Schizosaccharomyces pombe: one gene and its partner. Changing the gene in region 2 together with the main gene of any one other region gives a genetic interaction. Each region holds a gene or a part of one and is shown on either strand. Other genes may lie near its edges.

The links.
Region 1: mutations in SPOM_SPBC17A3.06 (region 2) and iwr1 together harm fitness less than expected from each alone (positive genetic interaction), as found in Schizosaccharomyces pombe (one large-scale study listed by BioGRID).

Annotation. Positions count from the first base shown.
Region 1 is NC_003424.3:1,592,802-1,596,798, forward strand, and holds iwr1 (RNA polymerase II nuclear import protein Iwr1), read right to left. Parts: upstream 1,739-3,997; 5' UTR 1,654-1,738; coding exon 1,593-1,653; intron 1,540-1,592; coding exon 1,471-1,539; intron 1,382-1,470; coding exon 1,069-1,381; intron 980-1,068; coding exon 589-979; 3' UTR 501-588; downstream 1-500. Other genes in the region: peptidase family curved DNA-binding protein Cdb4, read right to left, coding at 1-282; signal recognition particle receptor beta subunit Srp102, read left to right, coding at 2,394-2,561, 2,610-3,125; glutamate-ammonia ligase Gln1, read right to left, coding at 3,691-3,997. UniProt on the Schizosaccharomyces pombe protein: Directs RNA polymerase II nuclear import.
Region 2 is NC_003423.3:1,410,348-1,414,987, reverse strand, and holds SPOM_SPBC17A3.06 (phosphoprotein phosphatase), read right to left. Parts: upstream 2,124-4,640; 5' UTR 1,934-2,123; coding exon 941-1,933; downstream 1-940. Other genes in the region: mitochondrial glutathione reductase Pgr1, read right to left, coding at 1-385, 441-492; SPOM_SPBC17A3.05C (J domain-containing protein), read left to right, coding at 2,297-2,325, 2,380-2,816, 2,881-3,626. UniProt on the Schizosaccharomyces pombe protein: May be directly involved in signal transduction and/or cell cycle regulation. It is necessary for maintaining growth rate or spore germination. Could show both activity toward tyrosine-protein phosphate as well as with serine-protein phosphate.

The sequences.
Region 1 (3,997 bases), on a different chromosome or scaffold from region 2:
AGGAGATAAATGAGCAGCCATATCATTAGGAGATACAGCGGTAGGGAAAGCAATACCTTTATAAGCATCCTTGGTACGATATACTTTCTTGATAGCTTCGTTCAATAGTTCATCACCACGAACGCAAATATCGTATATTTTGGCTCCAGGTTGGCATAATTCTACCACTTTTTTAATAACATTTTGAGAAACTTCGCCTGCAATTTTATATTTATTGACGGTTTCAGGATTACTCAAAGAATAATCGACAGCAGTCTCTGAAGTTGCTTCTTTAGTCGACATATTGTCTATGATGTAGCTAAATCTGGCTACAAATTCAAGAACTTGGTGCTAGGATTTTGCAAGTCACAAAATTGTGGACTCCAAACTCATGAATAACATGGCTCATATTGAATCCTATGATATAACTAAATAGTAATGCTATTAAAATTTACACATATTACCCAGACACAATATAATGTATGAGTTTTTAAAAAATACAATAGAACAATTTACTAAATTCCTGATATAAATTTCTCCAAATAATATCATTCACCTATTAAACTGTAACCGATTTCCATTTTGTTCGTTTTTTTAAGTAGCAAACATCTAATCATAAAAGTCTTGCTCAGCATCATCGGAGTAAGCAAATTCATCATTTTCACTGCTATCTTGCCATTCGTCTTCATCGGGATAGCTATTTTGATAGAAGCTTTCAGCGTTTGAATCCTCATCAATTTCATCATGTAATGGATCATCTTTATCAGAGTCCACTGTCTCGGAGACTAGTTCCTGTTCTAATGAAGAACGAAAAGCGTCTGGGATGGACAAAGCATCAATTACACCATAAGCAAACGTTGGCTTGTTTGGTTCTTTGCTAGATGCTTCATAAATATCGTATACGTAGTCTTCCGTAGATTGCTGAAGAGGAAGGTCTCCATTTGACAAATATTCTTGAATCATAGAATCTAGCTGAGGATGCGGATGATACGTAGTATGTCTATGAATGTTAGTTAAGGTAAAAAAAGCCAAGAGCCAGTTCTTATAACAACAGAACTAAGTAATTGACTCTATTTGATGTTGACATACCCTTGTTCGACACGGATAGCGTCGAACACTCTATTACTTTGAGTAGAAGGTAAATTCTGAATTGTATAGCGTGGGGATGAGAAAGAAAGAATACCTTTTGTATTTTCACGGGATCCCAAGTCCATGTGCGTAGGTGCTTTCACAACGTCTTCAGAAGTTTGGACGACAGGGATTCCGTAATTGTTCTTTTTTAGAGATGATATTTTTGTATGACTGTGGATATTTCGAACGTCTTCATGAGTGGGTTCCGAAGATTCATCATTTATCTGAATATACCGATCATCTTGCTTCAGCGTTTGTGATAGTTTAAAATCTAGAAACTGTCAATAAAAGGTAATTGTGTTTTTCAAATGATTAGTCCTTGTGTAATATTCCAACACAAAAGCTCAAGAAGTAGCATACAATATCGTCCGGCGAATTTCCTTCTTTTCGTACTTGAAACAGAATTTGGATTGTTTCCAAGTTCCAAATCTAAATTATTAAGGAGTTAGATAAAGAAAGTTTACTTAGAAGCTTGGTCGTACATAGGGCGTTAACAGGATCTTCTGAAGCTTTACGCTTAACTCGAAGTACTGGAAGAGGCATCTTCGTATCACAATTTAATAACGAGAGTTAGACGACTCTTTAAAAAAGGAATTAATATAACCAGCAAAATCTACGGTTGGGGGATGGCAAGTCTGCAATGTAAAAAAGGTAGATATAAAAGTAGCTCTTCGACTGAAAGACAGCAACTTCAGTATAACTTGGATTGAAGTAGTATTACAACAACGCAATCTTATCTTTCAAAATGTAAAATATTCTATAGTTTTATTATTTTAAAATAAAAAATCGTGAAGTTCATTATTTATATCATTGTCATCACTTAACAAAAAGAACTTTTCTATAATAAATAATGTTGAGCAAACAATGAAGCAAAAATATTCAATAAGTCTAATTACACAAATTCACAACTTAAAGATGCCCCACAACAATTAATTCCACTCAAAAGAACCGATGATATAAATGTATACTTTGACGATTAACAAAGATTGGTCTAATCAAGCAATTATCTCATGTAATACATTCAGGAAAAATGTATTTTGTATTGTTTTAATTAAATTCAAAAGAGGGTACAGTCAATCTCTACTGCTGCAATCTGTACGAGAATTGTCTTTTTTAAACAAAACTTCGAGAACTAGTTTGGATGCTTTTTTTTTTTTTTTTTTTTTTCACATTTATTTCTCTCTTCTGAAAAATATATCTTAATCAACGATCGTATGAAAATGAGGTCTTTGTAACATTTGACATATATCTTCTACACACCCAACTGGTACCAACAACAGCATATGGATGGAACTTCTCAAGCTTTTAAAATTATTGTAGCTACAATAATTATAGGAGCTATTATATCTACCCTAGGAATTTTTTTTACTAGAAAGACAATTCAAAAGAAGTTACCAGCAGTGTTTTTAATTGGACCTAGCGATTCTGGAAAAACGTCTTTGTTTTGTGAGGTATAACAATAATATACAATCTTTGAATACTTATTAACTGTTATATAGCTAATTTATAAAGAAAAGAAAACTACAGTTCCTAGCATTGAACCTAATGAAGCTGTGTGGAAATATGGTGCTTGGTTAGTAGATCTTCCAGGGCATCCCAGGGCCAAACGTTGGATTACTACTAAATTCTCTGGAAATTATAATGTAAAAGCTGTAGTTTTCGTTCTCAACAGTGCTACAATTGACAGGGATGTGCACGAGGTTGGATTGATGTTGTTTGACACAATTTTAAAATGTCGCAAGCATCATGTCCCTCATCTATTAATTGCCTGTAATAAATTTGATCTTTTTACTGCTCAACCTGCGGAAAAAATTCAACAATTGTTAAAAGCTGAACTGCACAATATTTTGGAAGAGAAAAATCTTCAACTCGAATCTATAGTCTCTGAAGATGTCGATTGGGAATCAGTTGCAGATCAGATTGAAGATACTGATCTTAAATTCCTTCCTGGCAGCGTTGCAAAAATGTCGAACATTGAAGAATGGATTTCATGGATGGAATCAGCTTTACAATAAAGATGCATTAATTATTCACAATTGATAATTTACAAGTAACCAACCAAAAAAGATATATTTTTGCATGTCTAGAATAAGCTATCGTTTTATTTCAAAAATTCGTAATCTTGTGTGAATACTGTAAAATACTTAAAAAAATTAACAGGGTTGTTGACAAACTGATTCGTAAAGTACTTGTACTTAGGGACAGCTTGGGTAAAAAAAAACAAGAGAAACATTAATATTAGTATAAGAATATCAAGAAAAGAACAATCCAAGGTTGTATCAAAGCCTCACATACGCAATGAAAACACTCTTGATCATTATAAGAAGGTGAGCAACAAGCTCAGTTGATAAATGGTGATACTTTAAAAAAATGACTGCAACGAATGCATCATATGAAATATTCTAAAAAAAGATAAACATCACAAAAAAGTGAAGCTGATAAACAAAATTACTACACAACAAACTCATTAAGTCCTACAAACAAAAACGTGATATTATAAAAACTTAAACACATATTTCAAAATGGTTAATAACTGGGTGGTCGACGTGACCTGCACGTTAAATTATGAGGGAAAATTGTCTAATGCTCAAACATGGTCTCAGTGATGATACCAGTGACGAGGTAAGGATCGATGGAAGAAGCAGGACGACGATCCTCAAAGTAGCCGCAACCATTCATGGCGACAGAACGGGGGATACGAACGGATGCACCACGATCGGCAACACCATAAGTGAACTTATCGATTGAACCAGTTTCATGACGACCGGTAAGACGCAAGTCGTTGTCGTCACCATAAACAGCAATGTGCTCCTTATGGCGTTTGGCAAACTTCTCGAGATAAGACTCAATAGCTTTTATACCACCTTCAGCACGAGTGTCCTTAGTA
Region 2 (4,640 bases):
AGGATATATTTTGCGCTGAAAACCTGAGTTCCCGAACCATCATTCATATCGACAGCAACCTCAGTAGGTGATACAAAGCTAGCGTGACCAGAAATATAAGCCACACCATCCTTATTAACATTTCTTTCATAAATTCCATTGAGACGTCCAATGTATGCATCACGTTTACGTTTAATCATTCCCCAGTCAAAACTACCTAACTGACTGTTAGGGAATCCATTTTGCTTTGCTGTTTTCATCTTTGCGACGAGATCAGCAATATTCCACATAATCTTTTTGGGTACACATCCATAATTTACACATGTGCCTCCAAGGCGCCCAGATGCCTCAATTAAAGCAACCTTGGCTCCATGTTTGGCAGCACGACGAGCCGAAGCCAAACCGCCTAATATTCATAAATGTTAACCCATCAAATCCCGAAAGTATCGAATTGTACTTACCACTTCCACCACCAATTACCAGGTAATCAAAGACCTTTGAAATAGGTGCCATTCTAGTTTTAATACTTCGTGTATATAGGTAATGAAGAAGTTGAATACTGTTATAAACCAACGGAAGGTAAGGGTAAGACGTCTTTACCATGAATTCGTTATGATAATATTAGGAAATTTTATGGCAATATTAGTCATCTTCAAAAGTAAGCAATACCTCCATAAAGTGATAATTAGATTAGAAGAATTCCTTAGACTTTGCCATTGAACAGATGGAAATACTTTTCTCAGGCCAATGATAGTATAGAGTTTTTATTAAAAAATAAGTATTCAGAACTGGTTAGTACTTTAATTACAAGATCTCATCGACAACTCTGGAAAAGCAACCAATGTTTTAAGATAAACCATTTTTTTGTAATAAACATAGATGATTTGAAAACCTAGAGCGATCTTCCTAATATACATTAACTTTGAAGCAAGTGGATGATTCACACACGCAGAAAAAAAAATCAACCGAGTTTCCTAACAGCGTCTACACGCGACTGTAAAATACTTAAAGCTGGACAAACCCATTGAAGACAACTGCATTGTAAACCTTGCCATTTATAAGAACCAATTTTAGAATTGCATTTTGGACAATCAAATCGACCTTCCAAATTTCCCAACTCCAATTCTGGCTGCATCCAGCGAATAGGTTCCAAAAAGTAATGAGTACATCTTGTATGAGAATAATTATTTTCATCTTTCGGTTCATGCGATACCAGATAATCAGAGCTGGCAAGGACAAACCGACATTTTTTACAGCGAAGCTCTAATTGTCCTGCACGGGCACGGACAGTCTCAGCGTAAGCGACTTCAGATGGTACCCTAGTATTCAACACCGCGAAATCACCATATCTTCTGAACAGCCATTGGCGGTATGGGCGCAAACTTCGATCAAGTTGGTAATTACACTCAAAGTATACGCGAAGTTGACGAAGAAAATTAGCATTAGGAGATATTCCAGAGCGCCTTTCATTAATATGGGAGAGTGCTTCCTCAGTATTCCAATTGTTTTCCTTCATCAAGTATGCAGCCACTAAGGTTACGGACCTTGATATGCCCGCAAAGCAGTGAACCAAAACTTTGGCATTTTTAGATAGTGCAAAAGCGATGAATTTATTTGACTTTTCGAAGTATTGCAGAATATTTTGAGAACTAGAGTCTTCAATTTGCAACCAAAGGTGTTGTTGTTCAGGAACCGACAAATTGGGATTAATACTCATAGCGCTTAATGTATAATCGATCCCTTTGTCTGAAGTAGACACTAGCTCTGACGCCGTTTTCCAACTACTAATATACAAATTTTTTGATATTTCCGACAAGTCATTGAGGCTGTCAGGATAATGCACCTCGTCTATAGCTTTCTGTACATCGTTGCTAGACTGTAAAAACCCTTCTGCTTCTTGAACGGATGAGTGAATTTCATCAAACTGAGGTTGCCATGCACTTTTGTTGCTCATTCTATTATTAAGTTTCTGATTTACCACTTTGAAACCGAAAGAAACATAAAAACATGAAAAACACTTAACTTTTCCAATTACTCTAATTATTTCGCTTGGCAAACAACCAAAACCAAAAAATGCTCTTTTTGAATTATTTTAAATATATCAATTAGTTTTCCCTTTTATTCCTGTTTTTGGTGTTTGGATTGATTCAAAAGTGCATGTTACTTAAGCCACTTGACCTTCGATATGTTACTTGGTTTAAAGGGTTTCTGGTAGCATCGATCCATCCAAGTACAAAGTTGGCAGAGATTGAAGGCACTTGAAACTTTGGTTCTCTCATCAAACTTGGACTTAATTTCCTTCTTTCATATCACCAAAATGGAATCTAGTAGAGAAGAAGCCCTTAGGTACGAATAATGAGGATTGCGTGAGATTTTATTACTAACACATGTTACGTGTAGATGCATTGGACTTGCAAGAAAGTATTTAAATGCCGGAGAATATGATAAGGCTTTAAAATTTGCTAATAAATCTTTGCGAATTCATGCTACCACTGAGGGCGAAGATTTTGTGAAACAAATAGAAAAGCAAAAGCTTACAGGTTCTCCAAATCCTCAGGCAACTCCTAAGCAAGAAAACAAGAGTAACTTTTTTTCTGAAAAACAGTCGGTGCGGGAAAATGGGAATAGCTCTGCTGGTGAAAAGAAACAGAAGTGGACAAGCGAACAACATTTGTTGGTCCAGAAAATCATAAAGTACAAAAATCACCAGTACTATGAAATATTGGATTTAAAGAAAACCTGCACTGATACAGAAATCAAAAAGTCTTATAAAAAATTAGCATTACAGCTCCATCCAGACAAAAATCACGCACCTAGTGCTGACGAAGCATTTAAAAGTACGTCTTCATTTTTTAGCTAATAATTTTTAAGGTTTTTTTTTGTATCCTAACTTTTTTATAGTGGTTTCAAAAGCCTTTCAGGTTTTATCAGACCCTAATCTACGAGCACACTACGACCGTACAGGAATGGATCCTGAATCTCGCGCCTCTGCTGCGAGCAGCTCTTTTAGTAGTAACGCAGGAGGCCATCCTGGATTTTCTGCTTATCCTCAAGCGAATATGTCTCCCGAAGATTTGTTCAATTCTTTCTTTGGTGACCAGTTCTTTTCAGGTCCAGGAACATTTTTCTTCGGTGGTGGACCTGGCATTCGAGTTCATCAGTTTGGCGGCCGTCCAAGGAATTTTGCACGTCGTCAGCAGGCCCAGGACATGCCCCCAAAGAGCATATTTTATCAGTTGCTACCTTTGATAGTGGTAATCCTTTTTGCCTTTTTGTCCAACTTTAGTTGGTCAGATAGTACGTCGGTTAATACGCGCTATTCATTTCAACAAAACTATAAATACACTGTTCCTCGTACTACTGCCAAGCATAACATTCCATACTATATGAGCCAAAAGGATTTGGATAAGCTAAGTTCAAGAGATATAAGAAGACTCAACGAAAAAGTCGAGCATACGTATACTCAAAACGTCCATAATGCTTGTTTGCGCGAGCAACAAATTAAAGAAGACGAAATTCGAAGAGCTCAAGGATGGTTCTTTCCTGATAAAGAGGCACTGAAGAAGGCTAAAGAATTGCGTTTACCTAATTGCGAAGAATTAAACCGCCTTGGCTATCGAACTTATTCAAACAGTTATTATTTTTAAGCAATAGTCTTTGAGACATACTTCCTTGTCCTTTGTTTTGTTTCATTTTCTTTAATTCACATCTATACCTATTCTCGTGTTGTTTACTTTCATAAAAATTTTAATTGGGTTTTTGGAACAAAACTAATATTCTTTACGCGTATCTTAAAGCCTGCCTCTTCGGTTTTTAGGTAACTTTAGGCTGTTTATCTTTAATGAAATCGGCATGCGTTATTCCTAAAAGTTGCCTTTAAAACATGAACAAATTAGAACTTGTGTTTATGTTGTGGTTTTTTTATTGTTATTGAACATTCAGTGCTGCGTCAGTTTATAACTTTATCTGTTGTGTAGGCGTTGTTTAATCAGTCGTGAGTCTAGTGAAATCTTGCAACAGCATTATTTCCTTAAGAGGTGAGGCTTTTTTGAATCAAATCCAAATTTTGTTCCCGAAGATTGAGTTAATTAAATCAACTTTTTGCATTTAATAACTGCTTTCTGTATCGCTATATTAAGAAGCTTTGCGTCCTTTGTATCATATTAATATAATTCGTGAATTTACTTGCATTTCCTCCAAACAACAAATCCTTTAAAATAGAAGGAATATTAAACTGCTAGAGACATTGGCAAACCAAATTTTATATAGCTGCAAAGACGCGAGTAATTTAACCAGAGTTCTGAAGCGTGATTTCGTATCTCAAAAAAGAGGGTAAGCTGGTAATCATCACACATTCTATATACAAACATTTTAAACTCGTTTTCGCTTTCCTGAAAAGACAGGTTCCTGCTGAATGTTTAAATATGCTTGCGTCTACTAGCAGTTTATGAAGTACGAGTAATTGCTTGGTTGTAAAGAAGCAAGGCGCATGTTTGAGTGTATATCCTATAATATTTAAAAACGACATGTAGAGGTAGATACCCACAAGTGACACTCGTTGTCAATAATAATTACTTTCCTGCTTTCTTCTTCCTTCTAAAATCTCTCTCATAATGGTTTTTATTTTGCAGTCAAAAATTTTGCGAATCATTATATTAATT